Linked DNA regions of Saccharomyces cerevisiae S288C. The protein of the gene in region 1 purifies or fractionates together with the protein of each later gene. This does not show direct contact. Each region holds a gene or a part of one and is shown in the gene's direction. Other genes may lie near its edges.

The links.
Region 2: the proteins of TAF12 (region 1) and TAF8 purify together in Saccharomyces cerevisiae (affinity purification with mass spectrometry; 5 studies listed by BioGRID, with this or other methods). This does not show direct contact.

What each region holds. Positions count from the first base shown.
Region 1 is NC_001136.10:744,581-748,337, forward strand, and holds the start of TAF12 (Taf12p), read left to right. Parts: upstream 1-2,157; coding exon 2,158-3,757. Other genes in the region: MKC7 (aspartyl protease), read right to left, coding at 1-1,521. UniProt on the Saccharomyces cerevisiae protein: Functions as a component of both the DNA-binding general transcription initiation factor complex TFIID and the transcription coactivator SAGA complex.
Region 2 is NC_001145.3:41,679-45,435, reverse strand, and holds TAF8 (Taf8p), read left to right. Parts: upstream 1-1,860; coding exon 1,861-3,393; downstream 3,394-3,757. Other genes in the region: CTK3 (Ctk3p), read right to left, coding at 1-373; DAT1 (Dat1p), read right to left, coding at 645-1,391; VAN1 (Van1p), read left to right, coding at 3,642-3,757. UniProt on the Saccharomyces cerevisiae protein: Functions as a component of the DNA-binding general transcription factor complex TFIID. Binding of TFIID to a promoter (with or without TATA element) is the initial step in pre-initiation complex (PIC) formation.

The sequences.
Region 1 (3,757 bases):
GGAGACAATACTTTCATATGTAGACCAAGTGCTTGAGTAACCAGGTGCTTTAAGAGCACTTGGAACCGCGCTCTCTATAATCTCAATGTATTCACCGTCGTCGCTGAAGTTAGCCTGAGCCATTGATATCTCCATATTGTCCAGATCATATACCACGTAAGTATTAGCTAAGAAGTTATCACCCAAAATAATGGTCGGATCTGACTGCGGTGCAATACCTAGTATACAAATGTTTGAACGACTATCTGTGACTAGCTGAAAATCGCTTAACCAATTAGAAAGATAGAATCCACCAAAATCAAAGATGATGCTACTCTCTTCTTCCATCTCTTTGATACAATCCATTATGTAGTAACCATATGCAGAAGAGTAAGTAGCTCCGACCTGGTCGGCAAGCATTTTTACCAGCTCAGTTGGCATATACGATATGGTCGTACCTGAATCTAGCAGGACTGGGATCTTTGTAGTGGTTAGGGTTGTCAGATTGTCTTCTTTATCCCCTTTCGACGTACCTAATCCTTGTAAAGTGACTTGGAATTGAATTGGATCCTTGTAGCCGCGATGCTGCAAAGTATTAATGATGGGAATTGTGTATAGGTCGCCCGCATATTTTCCATGATCCACAGCGCCAAACAAAATGGTACCATGTTTCGAATCAGAATCATTTGCGAATAAAGAATAAGCTGTTGATTTTATTACACCCGAATTCTTTAGCACCATCGGAAAGTTATTGTAAGTGTAGCTTTTTTGTACAGAGCTGAGAGAAACACCAGAATAAGTTGACTCCAAGCCAGGCAAACCAATACCCAAGACACCAACTGTTGAGTTTGTTTCGTTTGCTACAGCAAATGATAAACCCGTAATGTTCAAATCGTTCAAGCTCAATTGATCATGGCCCCAGGTACCAGATGCAAAAGTCGTATCACCATAGGCGATCGAAAATTCTGTATTATTGGAGTTGAATGTAGACGACTTAGAGGTATTAAATGTCCCGTATGTAGCGCAGTCAATTAACTGTGATGTAGAAGCTGTACTATCAAAAGTAGCAGTGGCTTCGCTGGTAACTATAGTGGTGTCGTAGCTAATTTCAGTAAACACACTCTCAACCACGCTAGCCAAAGCATCCTTGTTTACTTGTTTAAAGGATGAGCCAGTGGTATCCTTCTTTTTAGTGGAACAGTATGGGTTGTCTGAACCCGTGACCCATAGATCAGAAGAACCAGTGTCGACAAGCACAGTAACTTTTTGAGGAGGGGTGCCAATATCTAATTCCACCGAATAAAAACTGTTTTGATTAGTCAGTTCCACCAGCTCGTAATCATCATCTCTTGTCATCAAACGCGTTCTACCTTTTGTATCATCCAAAGCGTTTTCAAATGAACTGCCGTATTTCTTCTGAAAATTCATTTTGACATAGACTTCATTACTTGGTAAGGATGGAAAATCTGTAACACCGGCATCTACTATTGAGCTGCAGACAAGTAATGCATCTACGACAAATGTGAGGACAGATAATTTCATAGAGCTCTTTCTTTTTCGTTTATTTTTGACGTATTTGCTCAAGCGAATAACGACAAAAGCTTGTTCTCTCGTTGATACTTTTAGCCAATTACAATTTCTTAGCAAGAACGAGTGACGCCAACCAAATTTCTCCCAAAAGTGATTATCTGAATAATGAAAGATGGTAGGAAATAAGGTATTGAAACAGGTTCAAAACTTTAAAAGAAAACTGCCAAATAAACTTTCTCGATGCGTAGCTGAAATTTCAACTTCAAAAAAAAAAAAACGCGTGTAACTTTCTACGTGCAAAACGATGTGTATGAATCCCGTCTTAATTAGTAAATAGGGTCTAGTAAGCGTAGCGAGGATGAATTAAATGCATTGTTGAATATGAAGAGCACCTTATGGTATATAAATGTACAATCTTGATTCATGACAGCTTTGCAAGTAAACGTATCAAATGAATATCACGATTTTGGCTGTATTACCCGGGCAGTATACGCGGCGAATTTTGTTAAAAAATGTGTTAGACTTAAGTCGGAGCAAATGAATAATGGGCATATATAGCGCATAGGTTCGCTAGTGTAAGACAGGAGACTGTCCAATAGCATTCGAATCATAACCGAATCTTTGCCAGTGTGTGTATAAAATACGACAATGTCTTCCAATCCAGAAAATTCTGGTGTTAATGCGAATAATAATACGGGCACTGGTAACGCTGATGCGATCACAGGAGCTCAGCAAAATATGGTACTGCAACCGAGACAGTTGCAAGAAATGGCCGCTAAGTTCAGGACATTACTGACTGAAGCAAGAAATGTAGGTGAAACTACTCCTAGGGGCAAGGAATTGATGTTCCAAGCCGCAAAGATCAAACAGGTATATGATGCCCTTACACTGAATAGGAGAAGACAACAGGCTGCGCAAGCCTACAATAATACTTCAAATTCAAATTCAAGCAATCCAGCTTCTATTCCTACTGAAAATGTCCCTAATTCATCACAGCAACAACAACAACAACAACAACAGACAAGAAACAACAGTAACAAATTTAGCAATATGATAAAACAGGTTCTCACCCCGGAAGAGAACCAAGAATATGAAAAGCTATGGCAGAATTTCCAAGTCCGTCATACGAGTATAAAGGAGAAAGAGACCTACTTGAAACAAAATATTGATAGGTTAGAACAAGAAATAAATAAACAGACGGACGAAGGGCCCAAGCAGCAGCTACAAGAAAAGAAAATTGAACTGCTTAACGATTGGAAGGTGCTAAAAATTGAGTATACCAAGCTGTTCAATAATTATCAAAACAGTAAAAAAACATTCTATGTAGAGTGTGCAAGACACAATCCGGCTTTACATAAATTCTTGCAAGAAAGCACTCAACAGCAACGAGTGCAGCAACAAAGGGTACAACAACAACAACAACAACAGCAGCAGCAGCAGCAACAGCAGCAACAGCAACAGCAACAGCAACAGCAACGCCAGGGTCAAAACCAAAGAAAGATTTCTAGTTCTAATTCTACTGAAATACCCTCTGTAACCGGCCCTGATGCACTGAAATCGCAGCAGCAGCAGCAGAATACAATAACTGCCACCAATAATCCCAGGGGCAATGTTAACACTTCACAGACTGAACAATCGAAAGCTAAGGTAACCAATGTAAATGCAACGGCATCTATGTTGAATAATATAAGTTCGAGCAAATCGGCAATATTCAAACAAACAGAGCCTGCCATACCCATATCGGAAAATATATCTACCAAAACACCAGCACCGGTAGCTTATAGATCCAACAGACCTACAATAACTGGAGGTTCTGCTATGAATGCCAGTGCTTTGAATACACCAGCAACAACTAAATTACCACCCTATGAAATGGATACTCAGAGAGTTATGTCAAAGCGTAAATTAAGAGAGTTAGTGAAGACTGTCGGAATTGATGAGGGTGACGGTGAAACTGTCATTGACGGTGATGTTGAGGAATTACTATTGGATCTTGCCGACGATTTTGTTACTAATGTTACAGCTTTTTCTTGTAGATTGGCAAAACACAGAAAATCGGACAATTTGGAGGCAAGAGACATTCAGTTACATTTGGAGAGAAATTGGAATATTAGGATTCCTGGTTATTCCGCAGACGAAATAAGAAGTACAAGAAAATGGAATCCCTCTCAAAATTATAACCAGAAATTGCAGAGTATCACATCAGATAAGGTAGCAGCTGCAAAAAACAATGGAAACAATGTTGCAA
Region 2 (3,757 bases), on another chromosome or scaffold:
GGCAGGGCAGACAAAGCTCAAAAACCAAGTCTATGTCCATGAGTAGCACTTCGTTTAACACTTTTGTAACATTGGTATTGGAATGGCTATGCGGATATAAGTTTCTTATTATTCTAACATAGTATATCACTACGTCCAGTCTATCTAGTGGGTCCATCTTCATGGTTGTATCGAACAAACATTGGTGGAAGTCCTCGTAGTGATGTCTGTAGTTTCTCAAGTAGAACTGTATAGGGTCATTGTTCAGCTTTTGTTGCGATGACGGTGGTGTGGTGGTCGACGATGATGTGATAGAGTCTCTGGTCTTGTGCAGCGTCTTTTGCAGGTTCTTCAGGACCTGAATGAATTGTAATCTAGCTTCAAGAGAGTCCATCCTTGCTGTATACCTTTACCTGGCAGTGCTTTTGTGAGAAATTAACTACCATCTGGTATTCTTTTTCCTTTTCTTTCTAAAATTCTAGTTTTTCATGTTGTGCTTAATTAGGAAAAACAGTGAATTTGAACAGTTGCTGAAGTTGAGATCAGTCTTAAATATACATTGCTCAAAGAAGTACAAATACATATAAATATAAATATCTATGGTTTTCTCAACTAGTTATTATGTGGCATATACGAATGTTTTAGTGGTATGCTGGAAATGAATGTCATATGGTTGCGTTTTTCTCTGTAGAATCGGAATTCTTAGTGATATGTGCTGCCGGCGATGGTTGCGTCCGTGGCTGATTTGATGCTGCTGTGCTTGTGGACAGATCAAGATATGGTTTCACAATGAAAGGCCGCTGTAAGTAGTTGTAGGGCCCCATCAGGAAAGAAGATGACGGGTCTTGATTGCTCCCATTTATAGTAAAGTTCATGTTCACGTTCACGTTGCTGTTAAGGTTGTGGTTTGAATTATGATTAATGCTGTGGTCGGCGTTGTAATTTGAATTCACGTGGCCGCCAGAGTTTCCCGTTGAAGATAACAGGATCTTGTGGGTGATGAACGGCTTGGGCGGAACGACGTCCACTCTCTGTTGCTGTAGTAGTTGTTGCTGCTGCTGCTGCTGCTGTTGTTGTTGTTGATCCATGAATGACTGATGGGTATAATCCAGAGATGGAGGCAATGAAGTTGACGCCGCTGCTGCATGCGGCGGTGGTGCTGCTGATGAATTATGAGCTGAGTGAGACGACGGGCTGTGCGTCAACTCTCTCAGTGCGTCCACAGCTTCCATGTCCCTGGAACTAATAAGACGCGACTCCTGATCTTGCTGAGACCCGTCGGTCTCTTTACCCCCAGTATCTTGCCTCCTCCTCCTACCACTGCCAGGCTTTCTTCCCTCTCTCAACGTCTTCCCTTTTCCGGGCTTTCTGCCGCTTCCAGGTTTCCTTCCTTGTGCCAAAGTTTTCGCCATCACCCAATGTCCTGCTCCAATATACTTTAGGACAGTTTGTAGATTCACAAGGTGATCTGTTCAAAAACTCCACTGACAATAATAGAAATTTTTTTTTTTTCATTTTCTTTCAAAACTCATCACCAAAAAAAAAAAATTGATGCATTAGCATCGGCTTCATAAACGAAAAAAAAAAAAAGAAGTTGAAAAGAAAACATGATATAAATAGTTGCAAACTAAAGTAAGATAACTGAAGATGATTAGTCCTGTTTGCATACATAGTTCTGTTCTTGTTCTACGCTGATGCGATCAATAAAGTCGCTTGAAACGCGACTGGTAGAAGCCAGCTTAAGCACAAATGGTGTATATGGGAGTGTTACCCGATGCTTTTATGTAGAAAATCTTGAACTCTTTAAAAAAGAGAGTAAAAGCAATGGAGAGAGAGGCAAGCAAGCAAACAAACGTGTAATTGAGGGACTCATAAAGGGCAATGACTTCCAAAACGTCAGAAAGTGGTACCGGTACCCAAAGTACCATAGTTCAGCTGAGGAACCTACCGGATTTGACGGAAATTAGTCACTTGGAAATAGATGCTCCCGTAGTTGAAATTCTAAAGAAAACAGTACTTTTCCAGTTGAATTCGTTGAACATCTGCATTTCAAACTTTGCATTGGATGAGCTGGTCAACCTCGTGACCGTCCAAATGGACGGCATGTTTCGGAACCTGCACAATTTAACACTTTTACAAAGAAGGTCGCAAGCTTCTCAAGCAGATTTGAAATTGTTGCTTCGAGAGTTTAACCTGGATGCGCCCTCCCTTTATCAGCAGTTTCAGGCCTCAGAATTCATCAAATCGAAGCATTCCACGGAATATGAAAAATTGATGAGCTGGTCGTCTCTTGCTGCTTTACCGCATAACGAAGAAGATGAAGAGGACGAATTGAATAATATCGAGGAGCAACAGAACGAGATCAACGTTTTGCTGCCTCCCTCTAACCCACTGGAAAAACAGATACCGAGTTGGCTGCCCAACTTTCCGCCTGACCATACCTATAAGTTTACACCTGAGTTCAACCATCCAATTACTGATCTAAAAACCATCAAGAAAGAAATAGTAAAAGAAAGCCAAGAGTCTGAAAAGGCACTATTGAACTTGAACAAAAGTCTCTCCCACATATCATCAGCGTCAAATACCCCGCAACCGCCGGGTTTAGACGATGAGGACGCTATCGAGCAACAATTGGAGATTTGGGGCAACGCGCTGGAAGAAAGGAAACCAACCATAACTGAAAAGTCCTTCAATGAAAACAATATCGAGCAGTATGCGAAGTATAGAGTGGAATTGGCGAGAGAACGTGTCACGAAATTTGAAGTGAATCAGTTGAAAAGAACAAAAAATCCATTCTTGAAAATTTCTGAAACTCTCTACCTTCCAGAGAGTCCTCACCAGTCTCACAAAACCATACAAAAAACCATAGAATTGCAATTTCGTAAGTCTATGACACTATTCATGCACAATTTACCTAAGGTCCAGAAGTTGAAGAAGGAAAAAATACGAATGGCCAAGGAAGAAAGAGCAAAATCGCTAAAACGTCGGCAAGAAGAGCTTATTTCACAACGAACAAAGAGGGAACAAGATGAAGGCCATGATCTTGAGCTTCTACTAAATAACGAGCACGCAAGGGACGCTGCAGACGACACGACCACCCCTAATGCATTAAACAACTCTACCATAGTTATCAACACAAACGCCGAGGATGAGGACGATGACATAAACTTATTTGGCATCTTAGGGAGCAGTGAAGATGAGAATGAAATGTCGAGTATGCCTGCGGAGAACCTGGTCGCGGAATCGGAACCGCCAACAATGACAGCGCAAGATACTACAAATACTACACCTGTAGCACATAACACAACCAATATCGATGCTACTACAAGTCACTCTCCTCATTCGACGCCTAATGAAAACGCCCCGACATCTCCTCCTGCAGATATAGCCACAGATCACGATATAACTATGTAAACAACTGCTTTCAGTGAACCAGTGTTTGTCCCTAATATAATAATACGTATTCAATTTATCTCCGGAGAGGAATTTTTTTTTTTTTTTTTTTTCGTTCTTCGGCGACTATACCGAAACAAGGCTTGAAATATTTAGAATCAAAGAAAGTTTACGTCTTGTAAATTAGTAAATGGTAACGTGAAAGAAGTAGACGTAAGGGTGCAGTAACAGTCATTTGAGCTTGTTGACCTACCAATTAACACAAAAAAATGGGCATGTTTTTTAATTTAAGGTCAAATATAAAGAAGAAAGCCATGGACAATGGACTAAGCCTGCCCATTTCAAGGAACGGTAGCTCGAACAACATCAAGGACAAACGCTCAGA